Tribolium castaneum: one gene and its partners. The protein of the gene in region 1 purifies or fractionates together with the protein of each later gene. This does not show direct contact. Links are inferred from orthologs where the notes say so. Each region holds a gene or a part of one and is shown in the gene's direction. Other genes may lie near its edges. The genes, in order: SIN3-HDAC complex-associated factor, sin3 histone deacetylase corepressor complex component SDS3, Sin3A and inhibitor of growth protein 1.

Region 1 (8,155 bases):
ATAATGGAAGCTTTAAATCTAGTGTAATTTTCAGGATTTTTCTCCTCGTTATAAATGAATAAAAGTTGTATTTGGTACACGTTGTATTATTGTTTTAGCAATTGCAAAAATTGAAAGCCGAGAATGAACGTTTAAAGGCTGACAACAGGTCTCTCACTCGTGTCATCACCAAACTTACCAACTCTCCAAAAAAATAGGTAAAACTCGTTAAAACGCCATGCAGCTGATTTCGCCCATTTTTTTTAATGAAATTGTTTCCTGTTGTTCATTTTGTTTTATTATTGTACACTTGTTTTGTGTTCAGATGTTGGATGATGGTAGAACGCATATTTACACACCTAATAACAAAAAAAGTTTTTCTTTTTTTAAATTGCTAACATACTAACATATTCTCTCACATTTCCAATTTTGTGCAGTGTTTTTTGTTTGAATGTTTGAGCTTTTTTTCACGGACCGATATTGACACACGGCTTAATTATTCGTACGTGAGCATGTGTTTAACTTACTACAGTCGATTGGCTGTTGCTAATTTGCGTATTGATTTTTTCAGCAGTTGGATATTATGAAGGTAGAAAATCAAAAGCTAAAGGACGAGAATGGAGCGCTTATTAGAGTGATTAGTAAGTTATCGAAATAGCATAAGCCTTAGAAGTTTTAATTTTCCTATTGCATTTTACTCTGATTACTAGAACTTCGTAGTCCGAAGTCGTTTCCTTCCTTTTTTTGTTGTAATCAAGTATTATTGTTATTTTTTATTTATTGAAAATTGTACGAAACGAATGACCACATTCAAGTAATGTCTGCTTCAAATCGGTGAATTTGAGGCAAATTTTACATTTTGACATAATAAGGCATTTGTGTTGGATTGCTTGTAGTTTGCTGGTTGTGTGATATTATTTGCTTTTTATTTATTTTGACATTGTAGGAAAAGACATGTATTAAACACTTCATTTTTACCTACTAAACGAACATGTCAATTTAAAGTATATTTTTTGTAAAACATATAAACATGTTGTATTATATAAATGTATTTAAATGTACTGTACTTTGTGAATAACTTATTATTAACAATTGTTGTGATTTTAATGTTACAAAAAATATATAAATTATTTGTTTTTTCTTGATATTTGTTTTATAATGCTTGCATTTGATCAAATATAAGCATTATAAAAGTTTGTTTTCCTTAGGTAATGTACAAAATCGATTTTTAACGAAAAGTTTAAATTGTTAGAATCTAGTCCAAAGATGAAAAACTTGCGACAAATTTTGTTGAGCACTTTTCACTTGTTAGATGTTTTTAACTTTGAAATTATGCCATAAGGTGCTAAATATCACTAAGTTCAAATCAAAACTTTACATATGAATTTTGTCTGTGACCATAATAATAAAAATTGGACTGATGAATGTTTTGTTTCATTAGCGAAATTACATTTGTACATACAGTTTGTTAATTTCTAGCGTTTTAACGTTTTATTTCATTGAACTTGTGCCTTGCTTCTCTTTGTATTTATTATATAAATTTTTAGTTAGTGTGTAAATTATTTCATGTATTTATTCCTTGTTTAGAGGCTGGTAGAATATCATGTGAATAGTGATTTTATAGCTGATTCTTTAATAAAATCCTGATACGAATTGTGAGTTTTTCTTGGGACTGGTAGGTAAGTATGAAAAAATTCTGTACATATTTGGGTTTATTCTTATAAAGCATTATTTGGAGGAAGCTCCAAATTACAACCTTGACTCTCTCGTTACATTTTTTGACTTAAAACGAAATTATATACAAAAAATAACAACACAAATTTACGAATTGCTACAACATTGTCTTGTGGGTGGTGGAGGAACTTGATCATCGTCAACAACAACAACATTGCGACGTTGCGAATTCTGTCTAGACAAGGGCGCATTTTGCGCTTCTTTCTCTTCAACAGTCTCTAACATTTTCTGCGTCAGAACGAGAAACATCTCCTCAACGCCTTTATTCAATTTTGCCGACGTTTGAAAATGTATCGCTCCCACTTTAATCGCATAGCTGCAAAAAAAATAATTAAAAGTTATTTGAACACAAGCAGCGTAGTGATGAGAGAGTGAAAAACCTAAAGTGTAACTCACGCTTCGGCTTCTTCCAAGCTAACGTTTCGGTTCTTCTCAAGATCAGTCTTATTTCCAGCAATCACTAGACATATATCAGCCCCCAACATCTTCCGCAATTCCTTCACCCAACTTTTGACTTTCTGAAACGAATCTTCATCAGTGATATCGTACACCAACACTGCACCGTTTGACGATCTGTAATAAATAGGGCCTAAGGCGTGGAACTTCTCCTGACCTGCAGTGTCCCAAATCGCCAAATTTATGCGTTTGCCGTCAATATTTAGTTTTTTGTTGAGAAACGAAGCCTGAAAAAAAGTGTGTAAAAGTGAAAATTTAACTTGATTAAACACCGTACCTGGACCGTTGTTACATGATTCGTGTTGAATTTATCCTCCACATACCTAAGTACCAAGCTGGTTTTCCCCACACAACCCTCCCCCAACAAGACAACCTTAAAGTTGTGGGAAGCCCCGCTGGTGTTGTTGGCCATAGTCAACGAATTTCACTGACTCATTAAATACAATTACGCACAAATGATTTATTAGACTTTTCCCCACAATCAACAATTATTTTCGATTACATTTTCACAATCAGCTGATTGTTCTTTATGTAGGCGTGACTTTGCGTACCTGTCGCAATTAGTTTAGGAAAACGCCGCTAGGGGGGTTTCAAAATTTTTTCAATTTTCGGCCAAAACCACATTTTTTCAGGACTTGGTTAATTGCAAATGGTTATTTTTTGACAAAATTTTCGGTCCACAATAACACCGCGAAGAATCAAATCGATTTAAGACGTGTAAACAAGTCGGTTGTAAAAGGAAACGTCAGCTCAAACTTGACGTAACACCGGAAGTCGTACTCAAATCAACAACTGTTTTTGCGTTTCTCAGGCAAAAAACGTGACTTGTGCCCAGAATTCAGGCATGTTTCAGGTTGCGATAAATTAGGTGTGAATTGTGGGATGCGTATTTTAGGGAATTAGGCTAAAATTGTTTGAAATTCGCCCCGAAAGCTTTAGGCTGCGCCTTGAGATGCGCAGTGGCTCATCTGTGTTTCTAGCCGTCATCTGTGTTGTATTGGTAAGTAGACAATCAATTTTTTGCGTTAAATTTCTCAAAAACTACGTGAAAATATTGAATGATTCTCTCTCCTGAGTGTTAGTTTAGGTCGTGTCAATGATTGGGAACGAGTGTCATTGGGAATTATCACGTAGTTCATTTAAAATTCGCTTTTTTTCGTTGGCGTCACATCGGTGGTAGAGAGCGTTTGTTCAAAAGCACAGCTCCAAGTATTGTAATCAGGTCAAATAATTGGATGTCTTTGGGCGATTTTTGCACCAAATCAGTCGAAAACGTGCAATTGTCGCCCAAATTTTGGTTTTGTTGGATTATTTCGACGGGCGATATTAGTCGGGACGTTTGGCACGTAGGCCGCTTTCTCTTATGCACGTGTTGAAGTGTTCCAGTTTCGGGATTGCATCGAGATGTTTTCGATTTAAAAGGCATTATGTAATGGAAAAACTGGAGGAAAATCGGTGTGGTCGTGACACCATTTCTCGAAGGAAAAATAGAAAGTTGTGGGCAAAACACTAGCACAAAAATTGATTATTTTTGAAAATTGAAGCGTCACGTCAGTGGAATTATTACTATTTGTTTGCTAATTTGGGCCCCAGTGTGTTAACCCTTTGTCTCACACTGATCATATATGAATGAATGGGTTACGCCCACGGGAAATTCCATAACTTTGTGTCTGTTTTGTGTGATTTGGGCCTTTAATTTTTCGATAGTTTTTCCCCCCATGGGCCGAAAATGCACGATCTGGTCTCCGACCGGCTTCTTTACACCACGCGTTGTTCCATCATGGCCGGCGTCAACGCTCCACATAATTTTCATCGTGAAATTGTATGAAATGTTACCGAAATTTCAGTTATTTTTGTGTTTTTATCACGAAATTTGTTATAGCATTGAGAAAAAAATCGAAATTTCGTTCTTTAATCGACTCGGAATTGATCAAAAAGTTACCCCCCGCCGTGTTTTAAAACTAAGTATGTGGTAATTAATGTTTTTCCGTTTGTAACTGGTTGTAGGATGTAGTAAACATTTTATTGTTGTTAAAAGTAAATAAATGAAAATTATTGATTCTGGTTTAAGTGTTATCAATGTTTTTGTTGCAATTGGGGTTTTTTCACTGTTTGCGGAAATTGTGATTAATTTTTGTCATCATTTTTATCAACAAATTGAAGATGCAATTATTTATAATGTTGTTCTACTAATAATAGTAGCTCAATCGAATCGCTTAATGGAAACAAAAAATCAACTTCCAACTCTTAAATTATGTAATATATGATCATTAACGAAAAGAAAACTAAATTTTAACATAAAATAAAGTTAAGAGAGAATAAGTTGTGTTGTGAAATGGTTTATTTATTAAACCAAATTTAAATACATTCATGGGTAAAAAAATCTGCAGATTTATTTCAGTTTAAACAGTAAGTTTAGAACTGAGATCTCCATGATGGAGCTTGAAAAACGGACATTATATGGTCTAGAAAGTTTAGAAAATTAAGGAGAAAAATACCAGAGAAATATCAGTTTATAAATTCATTAAGCTTGCAACAAAAAAATAGAGGATTATGGGAAACGGAAGGCTAAAGAACTGTACAGAAATCAGAAAAAAACAATAATTTGCTGTTTTTCAAAGCTAAAACAACCGTCATTTTTTAAACATGTATACTTATTTATTTGTGACCTATTTGTCCTCAAAAGTGTCGTTTTGCCATTTTAAAAAATACTGATAAAATTGTGAAGAAATTTTCCTCTCCGACTTGTTGCAAGTCGAGCAACTAGTTTCAATCAGGAAAAATGGCTTAATTAAAATTATGCAAAATAGATGAGCTTGTTTATTTTTGTAAGTGGGTTGTTGGACGTAGCGTTCTTATTTCTTGTTCAATAAGTTCATGATGTTTATATATTAATAGAAAATGGTGTCAGAATCAAGCTTTTTTTTGGTGGATTTATGTCAATAATTGTGATTACAGTCATTACAAAACGAATGATAATTTTGACTCGTGTCTTGATCGATCCGTGTTGTAGGTGAATGCCCTTTAAAGTTTGTCGACTTTTTAGTCGCGACAACGATGCTGTTTACGATTGCACAAAGTAAATGATGCTTCAAAACTCGTCGAAATCACGGTCGTCTTGTATCTATTTTAATCCTCTGGTTTATTATATGGTCCTGTTTTGCATTGATGGCGCCTTCACCCAACGGCCTACTACCACTGTCCGCGACCTTTATCGTTTTATTTGTCTCGAGATGCACTTTTTGGGGTTATTTTTAGCAAATCGTAGGTCATGTTTTCGTAGAGAACTTATCGGTGTTTACACAGAGATAAAAGAATCGGTTTCTTTGCCGCGATGTAAACACCAGTTCTATAATTAGCTCGAATGATTGATAGCAGTTTTGTGAAACGAAATTTCATTTTTTTTATTTTAATTCAGAAATAGTTTTACTACGATTACAATCCTTGTTATAACCAAAAAAAAAAATAAATAAAAAAATGCGGGAAAACATTTATGGTGTCACAGCTTGATAAGTCTTATCTAGTCTTACAAATTGTGAACATTAGATAATTGATGTAATTGTAGGAAGTGCATTATTAGACGACTTGAAGAACTGCAAGTTATTTTTATTTTATTAAAAGTATTAATCAGTAATGAAACGTTGATATAATACAATTTGCATTCCGTCTATAAATAGCAGGAATAAATTGTTGAGTGTTGAAATACCTGACTATTACGAAATGTAAAGTACGCCTCGGTGCATTATGTTTACGTCGTAAAACAAAATATCAAAACGTTGACATAATTTCGATACGTTTTGTAATTACACCGTATCGCCGAATGCATTTTATGAATAAGTAATTTATCTCACGATAAATGTACAAGACATTGGTGTATTTATAGACAAATCTGTTTACATTCATTTGCTCGAATAGATAAACTTTGCTCGGTATGACAACAACAATACCACAAAAACAATCTTTTGCATATTGTAGAAATGAAACGTCGTGGTGCAACGTACAAATCAGCAGGTAAACGAAAATTTCGTTAATTTTTTTTCTGTTGAGGATTTTAAAGGTCACTTGTGTATGAGAGTTGTAAATTAAAAATTGCAAATGCAAGGCCGGTTCGACCTTCCTTTTATTATCTCATTCAATGTCACATGTTTGAAAGGCTTGATTTGGGCCCTTTTTACTCCCAATCAACAACAGGTGTGACGTTTTCTGTTGGATATTTTTAACTTGACACACTTAATATACGATTATGTTACTAGGGGGATAATTTTTTGGTTCATTACCGGTAATTAGTGCATTTATTTGTTTAAATGTTTGGAATTTATTAGAAAGTGGGAAATATTCCATTAAAGTTAGTTTCGTTCGAAAAGCCGCCTTAGGATGGATGTAGATTATTCTAATGTTCATTGGTCGTTGACCTGTTTATACATTTTTATTTGAGGGTTCATTGTAATCTCAAGGTTGTATGATCTTGGTTCGTTGTGTTGCAACGACACATTTATGAAAATTAATAAAATCCTTCTTTTGGGACAAACTAAATTAAAGAAAGAAAAAAATATATTTTTAAGAGATTTTTTGATGTAAATTGTTAAGGCTTGAAATAGTAACATGCTGGCTTGGTTCTGCTCTACTTGAGCTAGACAGTGAAACAAAAAATCTTAATTAAATCCGTTTAATTCAAAACGAGAAAGAGAAATTGCATTGTTGTCTGGTGTTTTTGAGATGAGACAGCAATTTTATTAGGAAAAGAAAAAATAAAAAAATGAAATGAAACCTTTTACAAGTTGTTTGTATTTTTTTCAGATTTTTATTAGTCTAGGCGCTACACCCCCTGCCCCATCATGTTTTCCTTCCATAGACCTAAGGTGTATAGATCGTCAACAGGATGCTGTATTTGTAAGGCAAAATCAAGCAGGTTAGTGTCAAATTCCTGTCAAAAATTAAACAATTTCAATGATTTTTCTCCCTTCCAGTTCCAGATTTACGGACAGTAAAAAATACGAAGAAGACTTTATGAAATGCTTCAAATTGGCTGAACCCCGTCAAGGTGAAATTTGCAATGCTTGTGTCCTTTTGGTAAAACGATGGAAAAAACTCCCAGCCGGCTCTGATCGCAATTGGAAACATGTAAGTTTCCAAAAAAAAATTTGTTTACGCAACCGTGTGTCATTTGTTTTTTGTTGTAAAAAAAAACTTACGATGCTTTCACAAACTAAAATGCAATTATGGTATCGAAATCAGGTGGTGGATGCGCGTGCCGGTCCCGGAATGAAGTCCATGTCGAAATTCAAAAGTAAGAATAAGAAAATCGATGAGAATTGCGATAAAATCAAGAAGAAGAAGCATTTCGAACGCGAGTACAGTCCGTTGTCGGATAACGAAGATGTGGATATGACTGAAGTTGATTTTTTGTGCGAGGATGGCCCCAGTGGGGGCTCCAGTCGTACGGCGAGTCCTAGAGATAGTGACAGTGAGGAAAATGTGGTGAAAAATAGGAGGCATAAAGGACAAGCGAAGAGAAGGGATGGAAGTAGTCTTCCGGATCTGAGCGATTTTATCTGTCCGGAGTATTGGAAAAGGTGGGTGTTTTATTTATTATTATTTTAGATAATAATTGGTGAGTTTATTGTGCAGAGAGGCGATTTGTTGCGGGACAATCTTTAGAGGAATGTGTGGAGAAATAATCGTTGATAATCGATTTTTGAAAGCTTGTTCGGCACGTTTAAGGTGTAAGTTGGCAAGTCAACATGAAGAAGTTAAAACCGAACCGGAGGTTGGAGTCACTACGAAAATGTTTAGTGATAGTAGTTCGGATTCAGGTTATGATGAGTCGTCAAATCAAGGCACAATAAGTGGAGATAGTGCCTTTAAAAAAGAACAAGTTAGTATAGAGGAGTTAAACAGTCAGATCAAAAACAATTAATGTATGCTCTCTTTAGATTGTTTTAATTTATTGATACATAATGATCGTTGTGTTTGTAAAGATTTATGC
Region 2 (7,583 bases), on another chromosome or scaffold:
TCATGGCCTACTACAATTAAAAATTTCAAAAATATAACGACCCACCCTTAACTAAAAAAACAAATTGACAATAGTTTTTGTTCCTTTGGCAATTAGATAGGCATTTCTTCCTTTCCGAAAATGTTTAAAAAAGTAGACGGTGCTATTTAAAATTTTAAAGTAGGGGTAGTTAGCGATTAAGGGATGAAACCTAAATTGTAACTAATGTTGGTTTTGAACTTCCCCCTCGCGATCCTGTTGTTGCTTGAAAATAAATTTGCACAACGTCAAAAGTTATTGAGACTGGCTCCTTTTGAAATGAAAGCCCTGTATATAGCATTTTGGGATAGGACAATGTTTTAGACAAAAATAACGTCATTTGAAAACCTTTTAAAATAACTTTTTGGAGCTTTTTTTTGAGGCTACCGACGTAGTTGATTTGCAAAACCGGATTCAAGCATTCAAGAAATAATTTAAAAAAAAAACAGCCACTTATTAAAACATACGATATTTTCAGTCAGCTCTCCGTGCAACTGATTTGACTCTGTAATATGCTTGAAAACCTAAAATTAGCAAAAATAACAAATAAAGATTGTATGTTCGCATGAATGTATAATAATTATCAAGGTCACGCATACATAATTCAATCATATTTTCTTTTGACATTTTTTGGAATTATTTGTTGGTAATTTTTAAAAAAGTCCAATTCATCCCTGGAAAAACTATAAATTAACTCCAAATGGCAACATACCTCAAATTAAAAAAAATCCATTGGTGACAATCATTGAATAAACAAAGAATAAAATTACTGTACTGTACTTTTTATAAACTTTTAAATAGATCTTGTGATCACTTTAATAAATATACGATTATCCTTGACAATAACTTGAAGAAGAAAAATTAAGGATGCAAAATCGGATGCTAGAAAATCTAATTTTGTATATTTATGATCACTCGACATATTTGTTTTGTTAGGAAAAATTTTACGATAGGTATAATAGTTTATGAACTAACTTTAAAATTGCTGTTTGGTATTTTTTTATTTATTAAACGTTCTTATTGCTTGTTATCATTTATTACTAGCAGGTACCTAACTACGACCACATTCGTGACCTGGCCATCCAAAGTAGATAGAGACTGGCGCAAGCAACAGGTACGCAACAAACTGGTCGCTTACCTTTTCCCTCAGCTTTTAGTCCTGGTTACTACAAAAAGAGAAACCCATAGCGAAAAAATCTAACACTTTATGATTGTCGCTTTTCCTTAAATCTAAAATACTGAATTTAGAATTTTTAATCACACTTTCCAATACTGTCAAATTTGAGATCACAAGATAGCACCATTACACCACCACAATGCGCTTCCACAATTCCCGATGAGCGAAGCTACCGTTTCCCGGGAATACTTCCTGTGCGATACGCTTGCGTAACAAGTATAGCAGAGCGAGCGTCCCGACTCCCGGATTCTCCCATTATATTTAATACGTTCTAATCACCTGAGATAATAAATCATATTTATTACTTAATTACTTATTGCAACTCTTGCAAAATTAGTCCTAGTATTTCATGTACATTATATTGATTACACAAGTGCTAGTTTTATCAAATAATAAATCAAAATCAATAATCATGTACAACAAAAGTTTACGTTTTTTTTTCTATCATATCAACTTGGTAAAGTCTGCGTTTTATTTAAACCTAGTCAAAATCTGGTAATAAAAACTTTTGTTACACATCTATCAATTTTAGGTACTATATACAGGGTGACCTAGGGGTGTGTAATCGGTTTATAACTTTTTCACTATTTGAAATATTATTACCATGCTGTTTTCATTATTTATCCGATAGATCGACTTAATGTCCACAAATTAAAAATATTTTATTGTACACAGGTTGTTGTATAGGTGATGAACCTATGTTATATTATTTTAAATCACCTTATATATTTTTGCATTATTTGGTTTCTACGCAAAAAGTAATGTGTTTCTATATAAACTATTATGGGTCTATCTTTTTTCGTTTCGGAATGATTGCAACTTTTGGTAATAAAATAGAACAATTTTTGAAAAATCACTGTGAAGTCGCCTGTCAATATTTTCCGGCAAATTTGCAACACAAAATTTCAGATTACCTTGTAGTTTTAGAAAATAATCGACTTTTACTTGAAACACGGAAATAATGTACACAGTGTACCAAAACGCCAAAAGATGAATAACTCATTTTTTTTTCAAATGGAACACCATATATTTTTTTTCATGTATCGATAGCATTTTTGATAGCTTTCTAACGCTGTGGGGTTTGCATAGCAAATTTAAAATATTTTTTGAGATTTTTCAAAAAAAAAATATTTTTTAAAAATTGAGTTTTTCTATAACGAAAAGTTGAGTAATTTCGAAACGAAAAGAGATACTTGTCGACCCATAATAGTTTATATAACGTTACTTTATTTTTTGCGTAGAATCCAATTATGCAAAAATATATAAGGTGTTCCTTAAAAAAATATAACTTTGGTTATGGCATGGCAAATATTTCAAATAATAAAAAAGTTATTGGCCGATTACGTATCCCTAGGTCATCCTGTATTAGTTTTTGTTGCACAAAGTATACCAAGTGAAGACAAATTTGAAATATCTCTTTCTTTTGGAATGTGCGGAACAAAAACAAGTTTGAAATTTGCTATTTTTTCATTTATTATAATTATTTATTCTAGTTTGATTACTTATATTTATTATTATAGTCACTACTTTATATCCGAAAATGTGATTACGTGAATCAAGACCTAAAGATTTAGAATCAGTCAATAAGGCTTTAATTTACAATCCCAATCCAAAGTAACTAATAATAGTAGAGTTACAATTTATTGCTACAACAATAGGTACTATTGTATGTATATTTTTCCGAATTTAATCCTGTGATAGATAAAGTTATCGGACAAATGTAAACACCATACTAAGATAAACCGATAACCAATAAATAATTACTTGCTAAAAAATTACTAAACTATACAGGTGTCCGTTTTTTAAGCTCCACCATGAAGATCTCAACTATTATAAAAATACGAGGTCGCTTATTATCTGAAAGAAAGTTTTTAGTTTTTTAAATATTGAGAAAAATCAAAAATTTGTTGAAATGATTAAATAAAAACTCTAGTAACATTAAATTCTCTGTAAACAAGTGCTAGTTCAAAAAGTCTTTAGATCAACTCTTGCTGTAGAATTTGGATTGACCAAAATGCAGCACCCTGTACAAAACGAAAGCTAGTATTTATTCACCATCACATACTCTTTAATGTAAGAAATCAACAGTATACACCCAAAAAAAATCATTAAATTAAAATTAAACTAGTGGATTCGCAGAGCCATTGTTGTACCCTTGCTAAGCAAAGCTGTAGAACTCGCCCATCGATCAAATTTGACAACCAACATTAATTTCGAGATTTTTTCGCCAAATTTTAGTTTACGGGACTATTAAGTCTCAAACAACACTTTACAATTCACCACTCCACTCTTCCCAATCAGAAAGTTTGGAAGAATTGTATTTTAAACGCCCGTCTAATAACAATAACTGACGATGACGTCACAATCACGTCATAATTCGGTGCAAATATCTAAAATTAACGTTCGAATGGGTTTTGAACCTACCTTTCTCAAATTGAAAAATGTGTGTAAAACAGTCTTTTGAGCCGGTTTTTCCCCGAGTTATCTCCATAACCACCGCGCCAAATCACAGCCCACGCGCGCCCGAACTTTCAAATTTCACAAACATTTCACAAAACATGTGTCCCATTTCTTTTGAACCAACCAGCACGACTAATCACTAGTTTCGTTTGATTTTCTGAGAGATAACAACAACAACAACACCGACTGTGACAATCTCGCGCGGTGACAACTGTCAAAAGCAGCGAAGTCAAAGCACTCTTGGCAAATTTTTCAAAAGTGTGATTTCAGACATTTCTCAAACTTTTTGAGCAAAATAATGTTTCCTGATCAGTAAAGAGATGATTTAAATGTCATTTCACATCTTTGTATCGAGTCTATAGCTTGTCGTTTTTTTCTTTGAAGTCTCTCCAAAACCAAAATTGTGTCGTCAAGGGTAACAGTGACAAAGAAAGACCTATTGACAATTTTGCCCAACATAACAAAGTAAAAATCTCTAATGTCCAACAAAAGTGTTTGGTCTTTAAGAAAATTAAACGCTCTCTGGAATGTATTGTTGAGAAAAAAAACAATTTCAAAAAAGCCATGCGCGCGCATATAAATTTGTTTGACAGCATTTGACAGTTGAGTTGAGTAACATAACCTCATTGTAATTGTTTACAAACCTTGCATATTTAAGAAAACACTGAGCAAGTTCCTTATTAAATACTTTGTAAAACTCAAAGTATGTCATATTTGGGATCTCCTTACTCGAATTCGTACAACCAAGACTACGAATATGAAGATGATAATTTTGACGATGAAGATGATCGTGAAAACGAAGATCCTCATGACGACAGTGATGAAGGTTTTTGATATAATCTACCAAAATTTGGCAAAAAAATCACAAATGTTTTAATTTTTAGATACTGAAGATGCCAGTGAAACAGACACTGGCCGTCATGAAGAGCCCCTCGAAATTAAAGAGCAAATGTATCAAGACAAATTAGCGAGTCTTAAAAAGAAACTCCAGCAGCTGAGTGATGGCAGTCATCACGACTACAACAGAAAAGTGAAGAAACTTGAAAGTCAATACAGGGAGCGGATAAGAGTGAATATTTTGTACCGAGACTATCGAATTGAATGTGTGGAGCGTGAATATATTGCTGAAAAAAAAGCTGCAGCTAAAGATTTTGAAGACAAAAAGATTGATTTGCGAGAGAATTTAATCTCAGATTTGGAAGATAAAAAAAGAACAATTGAAGCAGAACGTTATTCGATTGAACTGACTGGAGACTCCATGGAAGTTAAGCCAGTAATGACAAGGAAATTGCGTCGTAGACCAAACGATCCAATTCCTGTGCCTGAAAAACGGCGAAAAGCGCCTACAGCACAAATCACTTATCTTTTGGATGAGAAAGATATTGAAAATGACCTGAAAATCATCAATAGGGGGAAAGTGCTGGCGCCTGTAAGGAAACCAAGTATTGGTTCGTTTTACTTATTAATTTTTTTCCAAATAATAACTGATTATTTTTACTTTAGATGATAACATTTCACTATGTCCTGGCAATCTTCAAAGTCCTTTGGCTGTTTCGCCAGGTCTTAATGATTTACCGTTAATTGAGACGAGAATTGAAGACGGAAAACTTCTCTATGAAAAACGCTGGTTTCATCGAGGTCAGAGTGTTTTTGTTGAAGGAAGGGATTTGCCAAAATTTCCTGCTAATATTTCTGCAATAGGCAATGACATGGTAAAGTTGAAAAAATATTTTAATTTTTTTATTGTTTTATTTTTTTTTTTGTTTCAGATATGGGTGAAGAGATCTGATGGTAGTAAAGTTAAAATCTACTTATCAAGTTTGGCTCGGGGCAAAATATCAGTTAAAAGAAGAGCGTCCTAAATAATTATGTAAATAGTACTATCGAGAAAATATCACGTTTGCTGCAGAATTTAAGTGGAAAATATTTAGCATTTTTTTAATTACTACTAGGAATTTCATGTGAGCTGTAGTTTGTAAACAATAAATAATTGATATGTTCTGTGTGTTTTAGTCATTTATATTTTTAAACAAAAAGTACATACCAGCGAGAAATAAAATTAAATACAAAAATTTTCATTGCTTTTTCTGTAATTATACGGTTGATTCTTCTAGGGCCCACATTAGAAACTTCTCAACTTCTAATATAGCTAGAGCTTTAAAATTTTGTATCCAAACCAAATAGCACTAAAGTTGTTTTCCAAATAGTCAATTGAAACACAAAATGTATGATTCTTCATTCTTTGTATTAACATAAATACAGACATTAGGACTAAAACTTATTTAAAATGAAGTAAGGAAAATCTCCCTTTTATCTCCTGATATTAGTCGGTGCCTCTTACTGTGACCACTTTCATGCTTTTCAATATTAATAAAGCTAATTATACCTATGGCTAATACGATACACAAAATTGTTAATAGAACACCAGCGAACTTAAAATAAAAAAATGTACACAATTAATAACATCACTTACTATACTTACTGTTAAAAGTATAGTTTTATTGTCGGTTTTAGCAAATATACATCCAGCAACAGCCATAGCTAAGCATAATGAGCCTAAAATTATCAATAAAGTGGGCAGCTCAACAAAATCTAAACCAATGTATCTTCTAGGCCACCATAATTCGTCAAAATAGATGGCTCCCATTGTTATAAGAGTTATACTCAAAATCTATAAAACAGTATTAATTTTGTAAACAGAACTACGTATACTTACTCCAAATAAAACACTGAATATAGTTAAAGCAATTCGTAAAATGTGGCCGTTTGGTTTGAACTTCATTATTGCGTTATTAGTTAGTTGTATTTCATTTCAAGTACGAAAATTTATCTACATCTGATTAGAAAAACTTGTTAAACAGGTACACATGACATCCTGTTATCAGCATCTTCAAAACTTAATAATACTCAACCGCACTTTGTGTACATTATTCGTAAATGTAAACAAATAAATTAATTTACGTATTTATTCTAAACATTTTTTCAAGGCCACCGAATTACGTTTTTTTTTTCAAGGATGGATGTAATGATAGGACAGTCAGAAGAAATAAAAGGCGTGTTTTTTAATGTCTTGTCTATTTGGAAGACATTTCTTGTTATTAAAACCAGTATAAATTGATTGAGTATGAATACAATTTCTTACAGTATACATAGAGCATATTGCCTTTAGAAGCGAAGGAAACTATGTTACAAGCTAGACCAACGGTTCCTCTTTTGCACAAGGTCCTTATACAAGATTTCTAATTTTACAACTTTGATTGGCTACTTATTTATATCCAATAAAAATAATTTTTCCAAACGAAATAAATCGTGTCGTATGGGATAAAATAAAGTCTCTAAGTCAATGTTTAGTGTTAGACAGTAACTCAAACAAAATTTCTACATTAACAAATACACCTACAGTAGTTATACACACTGTAATGCAACTTGAATTTTAAATTAAAACCTGCACTATAATTACACAAAATATTTACAACTTGATCAAGTGCTTCAAACAAAAAATGTACACATATTATTTATAATAATTATCCATAAAAACTTTGTGTATTAAAAATCACGTATGTACAAAACAATTATACAGTTATAATCCTGTGCAATGTCCTACACAAACTCAGCCAGATTTAACACAATCTGACTCAATTAATAAGCGAATACGGGAACGTTAATTTCTACGGCTACGTCCATCACAGTTTTTTGTTTTTGTTTTAACAAACTCTGGAATTGTCAAGGCCTATGAAACCTAAAAACAAAACAATCATAAACAATTATTGCATAAAAGCATATGAGCAACTATGGAGGAAAGCGCACTAAATTAATTCCTATATAATCAGTGAGAAAAAAAAAACAAGAATTGTTAGAACTGAGTAAAATTGTTTTTTTTTGTTGATTAAACGAATTTTTGCATTTAGTTTTCAAGAAAAAATATATT
Region 3 (8,084 bases), on another chromosome or scaffold:
TAAGCAACCTGTGAATAAACCCCCTCTTGTGTATGTAATCCAACGCATCAAGGACATCCTTTAAAATTAAAATAATAGCGTGTTCAGGCAGTCCTTCGTTAAAATGTGTATTTAAAAGATCGCGACATGAGCCAAAAGCCATCAAAGGGCTCACAACACACACTTCATGCAAATGCACAAAGGCCACAAAGTACTTAATAATGTTTGGGTGCTGGAACTGTTTCGTCAAAATGATTTCTCTCTAAAACAGATCAGTCATGCAGTAGCACTTCAGGGATGGTTTCACACCTCGACCAAGTGCGCTTCGTGTTTAATTCGGTCCATATTAAAGCGTTTTATGGTGACCATGGTGCCCGAAATTTTGTGTTTTGCCAAGTTGACCACTGCCATTCCTTCGAAACATTGGCCCAGAGTTGATATTGTCTCGTAAGCTGATATGTTTGCCTCATAATTAACCATTTTAGCGCTATTTTTTAGTCACACTATAAACAATTTTTTGTGACATATTTAAATTTGAAATGACCTAACCTAAAACTTGACCATTCTGACGTTTGGTCCGCAAAAAGGGGCAATCAATCGATGTTTGGCAATAAATTGTAAAACACTCCTATATTTCTTAAAACAGTAATTGAATGTAATGAATAAATAACGTCTTAATTGATAATTCACAAGCTTTAAAACAAAGCAACTTAACCTAGAAAGTGACAGCTGACGTTTTATTTGACATGTGCTAGGTTTCATGAAAAGGCCATTTCATTTTGATTTTTTATTAAAAGAATAAATATGTTAACATGGAAGCCTTAACTAGCATAAATCACAATTCTTCATTAATTTTCTTCCCACAAATGGCCGATTCTTCAACACACACCTTTTTGTCTACGTCCTCTGTTCCACTTTGGAAGTGTTTGATAATATTTTCTTCCATTTCTTCCATAATGCCCTCACACTAAAACGAATAAATCAGTCCAGCCGAATACCTAAAATAACGAGAAACATACGTAATATTTCAAACTTTTGTTTAAATCGTCATCTTGAATTAAATTCACTTCAGACATGTCGTTATTCATTTTCCCATCTTCGGTAATTAATTTCAACAAAGTTAAAGTTCCGTTCGATTTCCACGTCGCCCTTACATAATCGTCCATTTTCGTACAAATATCTTCGATCATTTCGGATAAATGAACCTCAGACTTGGCTTGAGAAACTGATTTGTGTCGATAATTGCCATCAGAGTCCAGTCTATAACCCCCAACGTCGACGGTTTTGGTTGGATCGATTTTATTCACAGCTTTGTGTAATTCGTCTAAACTAACTTTACAAACTGGAAATCATCACTAATTACAAAACACCATTACAACAAAAATCATTCATTCTTTACCTAAACACCTCAACTCTTGAGCATCAATTTTTTGTGCTTTTGTGTTGTAAAAAAAGAGTGTTACTAGAACTAGCGTTATTTTCATCTTATTGTCAGAACAATTTTGCACTTTTTCGGAATAAACTGGCAAGAATAATATTTTCGCGGCTCGCTTTCTTCAAAATAAAACTGGTTGACGTTCATAATTTTCTAATGACACGTTTCTACCTTCTGATTGGCTAAATTGGGCTTATGCTGATAGTGATGGCTGATAGTATTTGCTCCAATGGTATTTCCCGTAATGAAAATTATTTGAACCGAAAATCTTTCACAGTTATAATCCCGTGGTTTTTATAATGTAAAATTAAATCGATAAAATACATAACCAAACGGTCCAATAATACAGTTAGTTTTTGTAAGAATTATCTAATTGGGAATAATAATTGGATTAATTTGGGTTGAATTCTAACTAATTGGATGTTTCTGTTTTTTACGGTAATTTTTTACAAGTTTATCAGAAGTGTATTGGAGCCGTTTTGACTCGGAGCACAAACGTGACCCCATTTTCTTCAATTATTTATTGTCTGTCATAGAATAGAAGCACTGATTGAAGTGGGCAACCCAAAATACAATAAACCAAGTGAATTTATTTTTTTTTCAACTCTTATCTTTCTCAAAAAGCTCAAAAGCTCTTAAATATTAGCATATGGTATTTGTTTCAAGTTTCAGATTGCTACATAATTTTTTAAATGGAATTTATGACCTGTTTTAAATTTCCAATGTTCTCCATGCATCACTGTGTGTGTGTGTGTGTGTGTTTTTTTTTGATGTTTTGAATCCAAAAATGTGATTTTCAACTATTTTTATACACTCACTTCAGTTATTATTATTTTTTTAATTTTTCATTGTGGTTCTTATTGCCGAAGAGAGTGACTAAATTAATAATTAGTAATTAAAATGTGTCTTCTTGAGGTGTGTGTTATGCAGTAATGTTCACTGGATGTATATTCAACATAAAGTGGATTTATGAATTAATTGCATAGACAAGTTTTTTACTTGTTTTCAGATTTTTATTTAATTTTATATTTTTTATTAGCCTCTGCAGCCACGTAATCATTGGCACGAATACTTTTAGAAATTGTTTAGTTGATTAATTTCTTGTAGGTATAATTATTTTTAATAGTAATAAAAATGTTTAGGTGTAGTTTATTAATAATAATTAATAGACACAAAAAGAGTTTGAATCTTGATGTCCGGCTTAATAAGATTAATAACAGTCAGAGGTCAGTTTAAAACTTTTACATCTGCTACACGCTCAACTAATCCGAAAATGGGCACTACATTGTTCTTTGGCGGGTATTTTTAAAAATCGATAACAGCGCCACTGTTCTCTTCACATTGAACTATCAGAGCAAGCATCAAACAAACCTTTTACGGATCAGACAATTGATTCGAGGGGCGGTCGCTAGTATCCGAAACTGAAAAAATCCACAATATGACTAAAGTGTAATTTTTCTGGAATTGGGAGCTCATCCTGTGGCACGTCGTAATGTTTGTGTGTAGGTTTTGTGCATTTTGGTGATCAAAAACTTGAAAAATTTGAAAGTGGGCAAAGCGACCAACCACCCGAAATTGATGGACTCGTCCAAACAAGCTCGGAGATTTGAAGCAGCCAGTCAGTCGACAATCGGTCATCGTTTCGGGTGGTTCGGAACAGAATGTGTCAGAATTTTCTTTTGATGAATTCTAGTGTTTTCCAATTATTTCCCAGTGAAATCAGCGCGGATCGGTTGCAATTGTACGGTGCATCCCCGGCACCAGTCCGCACGGAAGCGCTTTCCGCGAAAGAGGCTTTTGTAAGGTGAGTGACATATTTTTAACTTTTCACATTGACACAAGTGTTGTGTAATTGCAATTCCCAATTCGGCGCCGCTTTTCCAGCATTTCCCATGGTTTTTCCGCGATTTCGGCGTCGGCGTTCCAAAATTAGCCTCCGTCGCGGGGGCCGGCACTCTCCCTCCGTGGAAATTTCGTCGGCCTGGCAACGCTTTTCCGCCGAAAATCTGCCGACCTTTCGGTAATTACGAAATTTCGATGCAACATTTTGTATTTGTTTACTGACAAAGAGTCGCGTCCGATTTTCGGCTTTATGCACTTTCGTGTTTGGGTCGCTTCGGTCGCAGCGCCTCGCACGTCCGGTTCCCTGCCCTTCCACTCGCCTATCGATTCCTTCATTGGCCAATCGCGAGCCTAGCTTGCTAGATCGCGGGAGCGAAGTCGACACGCAACGTTGCCACTGCCACAAATTACTCATGCACAAAGGTGTGGCAACGTTGCCACAACACAAATGCCGAAAAATGGCCACCAGAAACCGACACGTGACGAGATTTTTATGCGGGCTTTCTAAAACTTTGACGCGCGCCTTTTCAAGGTCATCCGTGAAAGTTGATTTACTGTTTGCATAAATGGTTTAGGGTATGGACTATTTATTTGGTTATCTCACGAGTGCCAAAATGATAAGAATTGTTACCCTGAGTTTTGTTTTGTTTTTTTTTCCGGGGAGAAATACCGACGCCATTATTGTCCGGAATGACGCGATAAGTAACTGCGTAGCAGTTCGTATAAACGCTACCGGTTTTGTTTATGCCAGAAATAAATAAGTGGGCGTGTCGTTTTGCGGATCAGCTGAATTGAAAATGTTCAACATGGGATCGAGAAATGTTCCATGAACGTTGTTGCCGATATTGTTGCAAATTTTCCTCGAATCTTATATTAAAACTTTAAAAATATCAGTGGTTTTGACTATGATGGACGAAATGTTGTTGGATTTTGTTTACGTAACATGTTATTTTGAGGTTATGTCGAAATAAAGTCATCATTTTGCTCTCCTAGCTTGTAAAAAACAGTATGGTCAAATTACATTTTTAAAAGCTTTTTTACATGTTTATTTCCACAAATTATTTTTTTGTCAAATACTAGTTTAGATTTTTGTTTTTACGATTTTTAGTAATTCTTGAATAACATTTTCGTGCTGGAATGAACATGTTTATATAAAATTTCAGAGGTAAGACGAGGGAAATAATTTGATAATTATTCAATCTGTAGGACGTGTTTCATAAGAGTAGTCTGTGCGAATTTTATTAAAACTGTAATTATGTGTCACATTGTGCTCTACTTTAATATTATTCATTTATCTACCAAATAAATAGGTAGTAAAATTATTTAAATTAGAGTTTGTCTCTGTTTTTAATTTAGGTATTATTATGTATGTTTTAAATTATAACGTTATAATAATTACTAACGGTGTATATTTATTTATTTGTAAGAAAAAGGTCAGAGATAATTACAAAAACTGATCTGACAGTAATAACATGCAGAAATAATGTTTGTACAGCGGTGGATAGAGGATAAAAATGGCAAATTGTTAAAAATTAATTTACATAATCACAATTATAGGTATTGGAAAATGAAAATTGGTTTTACATGTAATAAAAAATGTAATTTCTATTGGAAACCAATTTATAATGGAATGTTAAATAAAATGCTTACCGGTTATTATCATGGGTTATATATTTTTTGTCTAAAAAACATTGTATTTTTTCACGGAAATACAATATTCATAATATCTTCTGAAATTATTAATTAAACAAAAGGTAGGTAATTGTTAGGAATTCGATTAATGTAATAAAATAGCAGCATATCATGACACGAACACGTTTTTCTTAATCTTATCACAAAAGTGTAATAATATCAACCAGATGTCTCTCAACTCGAAAAGTGAAAAGTTTAATTGCCGTGATTTGTAATTATAAACTAATCAAATGGAAGTCTTCACACGTGTGTTAAAAAATGAAACTTGGTTAAATCACATTTAAAAAAAAACACAAATTTCGAAGAGACGTAAACCGTCACACTTGTTCAAACGAGTTTTAACCCAGCTCTTCAGTCTTTTCATAGAACAAAAATTAACGCCCATTATCAGCGTAATTGATTACGTTATGCGCATTAGCCCCTATCGAGCAATAATAACAGACGTCCCATTATTAAATGATGGCGACGTGTAAACATCTTTCGTATTATTTCACGAAAAACTTTAACATAATATGTAATAAAGGTTTTAAGAAAATACACATGATTTGACTACAGATTTTTTCATCGTCCGTGAGTGCGGTATTTCATTATCTTTCAAAATTCGTGTTTTGGTCGGTAATTCAGACATTTTTTTTTAATTTCGATAAAATTTCGTTAGTTATTGTATTTAAAATGAGTAACATTAAACAAAAATTATTTTCATCCACTTATTAATAGTTTTTTGTGTAAATTTTCAGCCGCCTCGATGTAATTTGAAATGAAACGGCTTCGAGTGGATGAGACGCTGAAAGAAGGAAGTGTGTCTCCAGCGACAGCTGCTCTCTACAGCGTTAATCAGCAGCAGCACCAGCAGCAGCAATCAACGACGACCTCGTCGTCGTCAACATTGTCCTACTCGAGTGCTAGTAACGTAAAAGTGGTCAGTGAAGGAATGCAGTCGGGACTTTATCCGCCGCCTCCGGTGAGTTACGGCGCGATGCCAACGGCGACTGCGCCCCACTCCGGCAAAGCTTCCGCAGCAATGCAACCTTTATCCGTCGGTGGCGGCGGCGGCGGCGGCGGTGGTGGTGGCGGCGGCGGCCATACTCAATTACGCACCAGTGCCGGTTCATCACCACCCACCGCCCCTCCTATCCAAGAAATGCAACAGCAATCTCAACAACAATCACCTGGCAGCAACTTCCAACGTTTAAAAGTCGAAGACGCCCTCTCCTATCTCGACCTGGTCAAATATAAATTCGGTTCCAAGCCTCAAGTGTACAACGACTTTTTGGACATTATGAAAGAGTTTAAGAGTCAAAGTATTGACACCCCAGGTGTTATCCAACGCGTATCAAACTTATTCAAAGGTTTTCCCGATCTGATTGTTGGTTTTAATACGTTTTTACCGCCCGGTTATAAGATTGAAGTACAGAAAAGTGATCAGGGATATGCATTTCAAGTCTCTGTGAGTATGCCAAGTCCGACGGGAAATATGCCCTCTGATCCTCAACAACAGAAGATGATTATGAGGGGTTCCGGAACGATCAACATGTCGAATTCGGCGTCGGTGTTGAACACGCTACCACCATGTCAGCCACTATCGTTGACGCAGCACATACCTACGGTTCAGGCTCAAACGGCCGCACCGGCAATACCACCACCCCCAGTGCCTGTACATCATTCAACGTCAAGTTACGGCACTGGAGCGCCGACCTACAACAACTCGTCGATGACACTGGCGGCGGCGCAAGTCGCCGTGAGTCAAGCGCTGCAAGGACACACGGATACGCCGCAGAATCAGCCGGTGCAATTCAATCATGCCATTAATTACGTTAATAAGATTAAGGTAATTTCGTGTTTTTAAATTTTTTTTCTTTTAAACACTCGTAGCCATTTAGAGATCAAAATTAGGCTAAAGAAAAAAATTCGTTCCAATTATTGGATTTGATAATATTAACGAAACAAAAAAAAAGATGGACTTGTATAATATTACCCCCGTTATCAATTACGTGTTCTACAAAATAATGACATTATATCTGTTTTCTTTAATTTGAATTAATAACTAAAAAAGTATTAATAATTTTGATGCTTGTTTTTTATCCGATTTAATTTGATTTGATTTTAATCCAAACATTAACCCAGGAGGCTTTAATTGCCTACGATCAACAGAGTGAGATAATTTTTATTGCCTTCTTGTGTTACACATTAAAAAAACGCATAGTCGTAACCCAAAAAATATTCACTTTCAATTCTTTCACTGTTATTAAACAATAATAAACAAAAATTAAAAATGAGTTTTGTAGAAATCAAATCATCAATTGTTTCTTCATAATTTACTGCTTGTTGCTTAACTGATAAATTGATAATAAAATCTGCGACAACCAAATTGGTTTATGGTTCATCCATTAACGAAAGAAACTTGGCTTACATACTGATTTGTATCGGATGCCGTAAATAAACAGCTTTAACTGGGGCTAGCAAAATAGATCGGCACAAGGTGATAAAAAAATGAATTTTATCTTTTTTTTGTCTCCGAAAATGGATTAAAAATTCCTTATATATTCGTAATAAGAGTACCAAAGTCAAATTGGAATTACGCAAAAGTTTAGAAAAGGAAACAGGAAAAGTACTAGAGAGAAAATAGTGCTCACTTACAATTTGTTCCTTAACTTTTTACACCAAAGTTTTCAATTATTATGGCTTACTAGGAATGTTTTCTGCTGTCGAACCATAATTTTCGTAAATGTTCAAGATCAAAAAAAAAATTTCAACGTTGTAATGATATTCATTTGAAATTAAAAATTAATTTAATTTTAGTGTTTTTTTTTATTTTGTGTTGACCAATTGTTCGCTGCGGTTAATGCAATGGTTCTTTTATTGGTGTGGCTTATTCATGCATTCTGTGGTTCTTAATCAAGCAGACTTGAAGATGGACGCAATGAATGATATGAATGGAAAATGACGTTATGGTTATGAAAAATTAAGTTTGATATTTTACCATTTAATGAATATGGTCAGTCATGCTTGTATTAATGATGAAGTAGTATTACAAAATTTTCATCAGTAAAAGTACAAAATTTTGTACATAGTTTGGTGTTTTTGTAAAAAAAATGGCATTATTTACCTTAACTGTTGTGCGAGCGAAGACCATTTT
Region 4 (7,172 bases), on another chromosome or scaffold:
GAAATAATTTAATAATTTTTTTATTCGGTTTTTTAGGCTTTTTTTACAAAATAATTGTAATTGTCTCAAGTAAAATTTACACGTAATTATCTCAAGTTTTTTGCTGCCAATTTAATGTCGTAGAAATAAAAATTTTCAAACATTATGCGTTTCAATTAGTATTTAGAAACACCATTCAAACTTGCTGAAAAGCACTCAAAACCAAGTACTTAATTAAAAATTTTGATTATTTTCGGGAAACACTGATTTACATGAAAATGACGCAAGTATTTAATAATTTATAATCTTGTCAGTTTAATTAAATTTCGCCTAACACCTGTTGTAATTATGAGTGACACTGACGGTCAGTTAAAGCCAAAGAAACGTAAAACTTTTATCATAATTGTTCCGTCCTTATATTAAATTTTAGTGCCCGTAAGTACACTGATAACATTTGCATATAAATACGGTCCAAATACTAAAACACTGAACTGATAAAATGATGAAAATTGCCATTTTCCTAGCATTGGCCCTCCTTGTAACTTGTCATGGTGATGGTAAGTCTTGAATAGTTTCAAATTCGTGTTTAATTTTCTTTCAAGAGACAAACACAAGGGTTGAGAGGGCCACCAAGCCTCTCCTCTGCCAGTTTATCGATTATTTAGATCATTTTTACTACAGTTTGAACGAAAAAATCGTTTATTTGCTCGAAGTTGATGCACTGGGAACTGTTATACATATTGAAAATTGGGTTCGTGACTTCATCGAGACCGCTGTTCGCTTCATTTTCGCAATCAGGGAAAGTGTGATTGTTGTAATCACCCGTTTTGTTGTGGCAGTTGTAAATCTGGCCTTCCTTTTTATTAAAATCATTCGCAGCATTTTGGATTATTTGCCCGAAAGTCTTTTTTGTTAAAATAATATAACAGTGCAATGGTGTGTTTTATTGCTCCTCCAACTTCCCTCATAATTCCAAGATTAGGTTTTAATCTAATTTGAACGAATGAACAGTTGGGTTTGCCCCAAAGGCAAATTATGAGGAATGTGTTTTTTGTGCGTTTCAATGATTCAAACCGTTGGTTTTATTAATGAATTCAATTTCACGTTTGAAAGTCAACAAAGCACATGAGTGTGTATTTATTTTAACCAAGAAATTATTCTCTTTTGGTGAACAAATAACACTTGAGGCTTCGCAAATACTGAATAAAATTTCGAGCAAAAAATAGTTATTTTTATTAATCGGCAATTATTTTACGGAGAAAATTGCGCTATTTATTTGATCACCTTTGTGTTTTGTTGCATAATGAGAGACTGCACTGGGGAGCATTCTGTTACAAATAAATAATGATCTGTTTTCGGAAATAGTTTTTTTATTTGAAAACGTAATGTTTGTATTGCATATAAAAATCGTGTCAACACAATTAGTCACGAAAAATGGTTTTAATGAAAACAAAAAATATTTTCAGCATATTTTACTGAAGTTTTTTAATAAAAATGCAAACGAGTCTTTAAACATTACATATTTATGTTTTTGTTATTTTTAAATTCAAGTTTAACAAAAGAGTAATTAAATTCCGGGTTTTTTCGGTCAATTTTGAGTAAACTTCAAACAGTGTAACAATAAACGCTGTTTAGAAAATTCATTCAACAGTCACTCAAAGGATTTCAATTAATTTTAATCGATCATTTTTCTATGGGAACTAAATTAAAGTAAAACAAGCTGCTAAAGACTTAAGATTTATGACGCTGTCGCGTTTTCTTCAAGTTATTTTCCCCACGTTTTTCGCCTAATTATTCTTCACTTCACGAATGGCAATTGATTTTTGGTCAAACATCGAAAACATGAAACTTACAAGTTGCTAAAATTCCTTGGGCCTCTAACACAACTGGTTGCAGATCAACAGGCGTTTCAGGATGTTGCTGAAACTCTTTATCCTTCCAAGGCGCCTACATGTGTTGGAGGGGGTTGGGCCACCACCATTGGCTGCTCCCACGTTTCCTCCATAATTATATTGTTACAATATTTTGATTTATTTAGCGCAAACCAGCTATTACGACTTCAGATTTCGCTGACCGACTGGAATTAGCTCAAGCGTCACGTTTCAAACTTAAGAAATTAATTGCAACTTTTCATTAAGTTCAATAAAGCCACAAAAGATTAAATCGGACGTTTCCTACAAAAGGATTTTTCTTTATGACTTGAGCCTGATTTATTTGAAACGTCCGCCTTGTGTCGACATTTTTAAGGTTACTAGAGACATTCTTCTGTCCGGAATACTGACAAGTTGCGAAAATTTCGACGGAAATTGGAAATTATTCGTCGTGTCTTTATGGCGGAGGCGCCGGGTTTAGCTCTAATATCTCGCAGACATTGACCATGCTTGTTTTTTTAAATTTATTTTCTTCTATTTATTTGCCAACAACTGGGGTGTTGAGTGTAGCCCCAAAATTACATTTTTTTAATTTATATTTACTGAACGGACCTAAAGTTTAGGAACATTATTTTTAAATTTAAAACATGGAATGCTCACTTTTTTGCATGTTTAACTTTTTATTCACATGCATGTTAAAACTTGGGAGATAAAAATCATTTTAGTTCCAATAAAACTCCTATTATTAAAACTCATACTTTGTATGAGCATTTGTGCATCAATATTTTATGCAAGAGAACATTAAACTTTAGTTAATATAAATTAATTTTTGTGGTACATTTGATTCCCGCAAGTGGTTGATGGTAATAATTAATAACAGAGTAACATAATTTTTTCTTGCTCCTTAACGAAAAAGTGCTGAAACTCTTTGAAAATGGAAAAAATTGTCTTTTGCGGCCCAATTCGATAATTTTTTATTTTGAATTTTGCAAAATAAGTGAGTTTCAGACTGAAAAATGCACTGAAACCTTGAAAATAATGCAGTGGTGAGCTGAATTTAGTAGTTTTTGTGCAAAAAAAAAGTTAAATTTGTGATAATTTTTTTATTATTACACAAATTTAGTGATTTTTTTAGGAGATCAAAGACGAAATTTGGCAAGAATTTAGTTTTTTTGATTATTTATTAAGCAGAACCGGTGCAGTTAGGCCTTAGACAAAATGGTCGTGTAAAAAATTGAGTTTGGCGCGTATCCGTCCTGGGGTTTTTTTCTCCGTGAAAATCGGTAAACAGCGATTGATGTCAAAAATGGTGGCTTATGTTTGAAATATGTGAAGCTGAAGTAAACCTTTAACCTTTTTGTAACTTTCCCCGTTGAAAATCATGTTGAACCAAGTGTCCGTCGAGGCCGTTTATTCCGCCACGTACGTAGAGAACTATTTGGATTGCGTTGAGAACCTCCCCGATGAACTCCAACGCCTAATCTCCAGGATGCGAGAACTCGACGTCTGTTACTTGGGTAAACTTTGCTATTTTCATCCAAAAACCGGCCTCAAGCCGCCCTTTCAGCCCGCGTGCGTGAAGCCGCATACCAGACCGAGAACTGGAAAAAAATCGGTAACGATAACCCCGCCAAAAAGGCCCGGGGCTTCGCCCGCATGCAGCAAGCCCTGATCGCAGCCCAGGAACTGGGCGACGAGAAAATGAACCTCTTGCAGTCAATTCTGGACAAGATTGAGATCAAGACGCGCTTGTTGGACCAGGACTTCAAAAATTTAGGTACTTTTCGTATTTTTTTAATTTACACCATGTCAAACGCGATTGCTAGATTTTGGTAAAGACGAGACGACTCAACTCGAAAACAAGGAGCAACAGCCCCCTAATAACAACAGCAGTAGTGCGGGTTTGGTCGAGAGGCCTCCAAAGAGGGCGCGGCGCACCCGTCATGACACTTTCTCAGGCTTGGAGTCGAATCATAATGATTCAGCCCCAGTGGAGCACGTTTTGAGGAGCCAGGTGCCGTCCACGGCCAACTCGACGAAGAAGAGTGGGACTGGGAAGAAGAAGAAGCGCAAATCGAAGCAAGTGCAAGCACAGAGAGAGGAATCTCCGCCAAGGGAGGAAGAGCCGATTATTGATCCCGATGAGCCCACTTATTGTCTCTGTGATCAAATTTCTTACGGTGAAATGATTATGTGCGACAATGATTTGTGTCCAATCGAGTGGTTCCACTTTTCTTGCGTTACTTTAACCACCAAACCGAAAGGTAAATGGTATTGTCCAAAGTGTAGAGGTGATAGACCCAATGTTATGAAACCCAAGGCGCAATTTTTAAGAGAACTCGAAAAGTATAATAAGGATAAAGAGGAGAAAACATAAGTTTATTGGTGTGTGCATTTTACAGTTCTTACATAGCAATTAAATATAATTTCATAGAATGTTTTAAAATAATAAATATGTCTAACATCTCAGTGTCTGGTAATGTTAACCTAACCAGGAACCTCGAAAAATCCTGATAAAAGAAAACCAAAAATTCCTAAATCCTCCAAACCCGCCAACTTGCAATTTCTAAATTAAAGGGAAAAAAGAAGAAGAAAAACGCAATTTAATATTTTTGTGTGTATTTTACATTTCCGACATAGCAATTAAATATAATTTTAATATTTTAAAATAATAAATATATCTAACATCATTTCTTTATCATAATCCTGTGTGATGCAACTACACACAATATGGCAGTGTAAAATAAAATAAAGTAACAAAAATGTGTAAGTAAAAAATCATCCAATCACCTAACAATAAATAACACTTTTTATAATTTAAAATGGCGTCAATACAAACTATCAGACTTGAAAATCAAACACGCCTAGACTGAGGTAAGCTAAACAAAATGACTACAATTTTATTAGACCCAAACTCCATGCGGGTTTTTATTGGTTGGTACAGCATTTTCCAATTGTCGAGGCGAACCAATCATTTTTCGGGTACTTCCCTTATTAGGACCTTCCAAAATCGCTCGTAAATCCTCAGGTGGCGCTATAGTCAAACTTTGTAAATTCGCCTCTTTCATTTCAGTCACAAGCAATTCCACTTGTTTTTTCTTTTCGATTATTGCCGTCTCAAGTGCGGCAACCTAAAAAACAATAAATTATCAAACAGAGGGATAAAACCACTCACTTCTTTTTTGAGCGTTTCGGCAGTCAGGTGATGCAATTCAGTGCTCTGTTTTGCCAACTCGATATCTCTCTGTAACCGCTCCATTTCGACTAGGAGACTTTTTTCCATTTGTTTGCGTGATTCAGAACGACGCGATAAAGCTCTTTGTTCGATTTGTAACTCGTCCATTACTAAACGAATTTTATTTTTGCACTGCAAAAGTTCAGTTTCGCAATTTGCAAGCTTTGATCTCAAGAGAGTTATTTCGGATTTGAGCGTTTTCTCTTGCTGTTTCACTATTTCGCATTCTTCCTCAATGTAATGCAATGCCTGAATCTAGGGACAATTTTTTATTATTGAAAATTTATTATTTGAAACAAACCTGGTCTTGATTTAATTTCGTAGCATTAGTCATTGCGAGAATTTCCTGCGAAATGTATTCTAATTGCATTTGTTTTTCCCGTTCTTTACTCTCCCAAAACACAATTTCGGCATCAAACTACAAAAAAATAATTTCTAATAAGAATTAATTAAATTAATTGTGGCACCTTTGTTAGGTCTGCTTGCTGATTGGACAATTTCTCCCTCTGGTAATTAATAAGCGCGATTAATTCCCTATACTGGGCATTGTAGAGTACAGACTCCTGTAATTTGTGTGTTTTGTTTGACTCTTGTAGGATATTTTTTTTGGGGGGCGGCGGATCGCGGTAAGGGGGCGGTGCCGGTGGGTGGATTCTATGACTAGGAGATTCGGATTTTTTGGGTGAATTTTGAGATTCGCGCACTTGTAGTGTTTTTACATGCGGTACACCTTTCACAACGCCTACTTGTGACTTCTCGGTGTGTTTTTGTGGTGATTCCACTATGATATTAGCTGATGATGATGATGTTTTTGGTTTGGTTGTTGGTGTCATGGGTTTGCTTTCGCTCCATTGGAGGATGAATTGGACGTCGTTTGAGTACTCACCCCATTTCATCAAAATCTGCGTGTTTATTATTTTTTTTAATTTTTTTTGGGGGGTGGGTTTACAAACCTTGAGGGGGTTTTCATTGGGGGCCAACTGTCGTTCGTTGTTCCTCCACCGTTCGATAAGTGTGAATCGGCCTGACTTACCCGTGGCGTGAGCTAAAGCAAACACTACATCCTGCAATTTGACAAGTGTGAGAAATTATCAAATGGGGGGCGTCAGGGGGTACCTGACACGTTGTCGTCTCAGTCACCCCACACACTATCCGTTGGATTCCCTCGACCCAAACTTTTAACTCCATATTGCACTACAAAAACTATTTTATTCACAATTATCCTCACACAATTATCGCACTCACCTAATTCCAGGTTTTGGCATTTTGATCAATCGAAGCACGGTGGTAACAAACCCCGAGTTTACGTAACTAAATTAAAGCGACGTTTATTCAAAATTTGCATTTTTTTACATGTTTTGGGGCAAAAATGTGCAATTTATTTTTATTTATAAACGTCAAATATTTTTTACTCTTGTCACTTGCCACCAACCCAACGGGTCAAAAGCACCAAACCCGCCAACTTGATTCAAAGTGAAAGAAAAGTCGCGTAATAGTTGTGTCTTTTTGTGCCAATTTTTAGACTTTTCCAAGTGTTTAGTGCCGATAAAGTGGGGAAAGTATGTGCGTAAGTTGCAATTTTCTCACATTTTTGTCTATTGAGCGGTAAACTTCTTGAAATATTGTCATCGAAACGTAACCAAAAGATAACTCAAATACGAAAAATCCTAACAGACTATTAAGTTGCGGGTTTTTCACCGATTTTTCAGTCAAAAAGGTGGAATTTCTCACCTTTGACTGAAAATTTATGATTATTGATTATTTTTTCATACCACTAAGACCAAAAATCCCTAATTTGATCAAACCCGCCAACTTGTTTTAAATTGAAAGAAAAGTCTCGTAATAATCGTGGGCTTTGGTGTTGATTCCTAAACTTTTCCAAGTGTTTACAAGTGTTTAGTGACGGAAAATTGGAGAAAATGTTTGCGTAAGTTTTCTTTTTGTCTATTACTTGTGAAAATAAAAAAAATTAAAGCGGAAACCTAACCAAAAAAATTCTTTTTTACTGCACCGACGCCAACTAGTCCAAATTGGCGGGAAAGTTCCGCATCAAATCCTAAGTTTAGTGTGTGTTTTTTCTAAATTTC

Evidence for each region.
Region 2: the proteins of SIN3-HDAC complex-associated factor (region 1) and sin3 histone deacetylase corepressor complex component SDS3 purify together in Homo sapiens (affinity purification with mass spectrometry; 3 studies listed by BioGRID and IntAct, counting the BioPlex papers as one, with this or other methods). This does not show direct contact. The link is inferred for Tribolium castaneum from reciprocal best matches to the Homo sapiens genes SINHCAF and SUDS3.
Region 3: the proteins of SIN3-HDAC complex-associated factor (region 1) and Sin3A purify together in Homo sapiens (affinity purification with mass spectrometry; 4 studies listed by BioGRID and IntAct, counting the BioPlex papers as one, with this or other methods). This does not show direct contact. The link is inferred for Tribolium castaneum from reciprocal best matches to the Homo sapiens genes SINHCAF and SIN3A.
Region 4: the proteins of SIN3-HDAC complex-associated factor (region 1) and inhibitor of growth protein 1 purify together in Homo sapiens (affinity purification with mass spectrometry; 3 studies listed by BioGRID and IntAct, counting the BioPlex papers as one, with this or other methods). This does not show direct contact. The link is inferred for Tribolium castaneum from reciprocal best matches to the Homo sapiens genes SINHCAF and ING2.

Annotation. Positions count from the first base shown.
Region 1 is NC_087394.1:37,251,227-37,259,381, forward strand, and holds the start of SIN3-HDAC complex-associated factor, read left to right. Parts: upstream 1-3,012; 5' UTR 3,013-3,169; intron 3,170-6,040; exon of another isoform or gene 6,041-6,180; intron 6,181-6,966; 5' UTR 6,967-7,004; coding exon 7,005-7,078; intron 7,079-7,136; coding exon 7,137-7,290; intron 7,291-7,404; coding exon 7,405-7,742; intron 7,743-7,797; coding exon 7,798-8,086; 3' UTR 8,087-8,155. Other genes in the region: Mbs (protein phosphatase 1 regulatory subunit 12B), read left to right, coding at 99-197; ras-related protein Rab-21, read right to left, coding at 1,801-2,029, 2,110-2,396, 2,447-2,581. UniProt on the Homo sapiens protein: Subunit of the Sin3 deacetylase complex (Sin3/HDAC), this subunit is important for the repression of genes encoding components of the TGF-beta signaling pathway.
Region 2 is NC_087395.1:74,398-81,980, forward strand, and holds sin3 histone deacetylase corepressor complex component SDS3, read left to right. Parts: upstream 1-4,149; 5' UTR 4,150-4,360; coding exon 4,361-4,481; intron 4,482-4,539; coding exon 4,540-5,103; intron 5,104-5,158; coding exon 5,159-5,367; intron 5,368-5,424; coding exon 5,425-5,517; 3' UTR 5,518-5,654; downstream 5,655-7,583. Other genes in the region: phosphatase and actin regulator 4-B, read right to left, coding at 7,379-7,394.
Region 3 is NC_087396.1:24,659,000-24,667,083, reverse strand, and holds the start of Sin3A (paired amphipathic helix protein Sin3b), read left to right. Parts: upstream 1-2,631; 5' UTR 2,632-3,218; intron 3,219-3,298; 5' UTR 3,299-3,434; intron 3,435-5,685; 5' UTR 5,686-5,705; coding exon 5,706-6,776; intron 6,777-8,084. Other genes in the region: STE20-related kinase adapter protein alpha, read right to left, coding at 9-241, 289-459; sel (protein seele), read right to left, coding at 815-946, 999-1,321, 1,379-1,463. UniProt on the Homo sapiens protein: Acts as a transcriptional repressor. Corepressor for REST. Interacts with MXI1 to repress MYC responsive genes and antagonize MYC oncogenic activities. Also interacts with MXD1-MAX heterodimers to repress transcription by tethering SIN3A to DNA.
Region 4 is NC_087402.1:344,975-352,146, forward strand, and holds inhibitor of growth protein 1, read left to right. Parts: upstream 1-3,109; 5' UTR 3,110-3,231; coding exon 3,232-3,367; intron 3,368-3,417; coding exon 3,418-3,627; intron 3,628-3,676; coding exon 3,677-4,227; 3' UTR 4,228-4,319; downstream 4,320-7,172. Other genes in the region: RASSF8 (ras association domain-containing protein 8), read right to left, coding at 4,754-4,981, 5,026-5,340, 5,387-5,503, 5,553-5,987, 6,039-6,149, 6,202-6,273. UniProt on the Homo sapiens protein: Seems to be involved in p53/TP53 activation and p53/TP53-dependent apoptotic pathways, probably by enhancing acetylation of p53/TP53. Component of a mSin3A-like corepressor complex, which is probably involved in deacetylation of nucleosomal histones.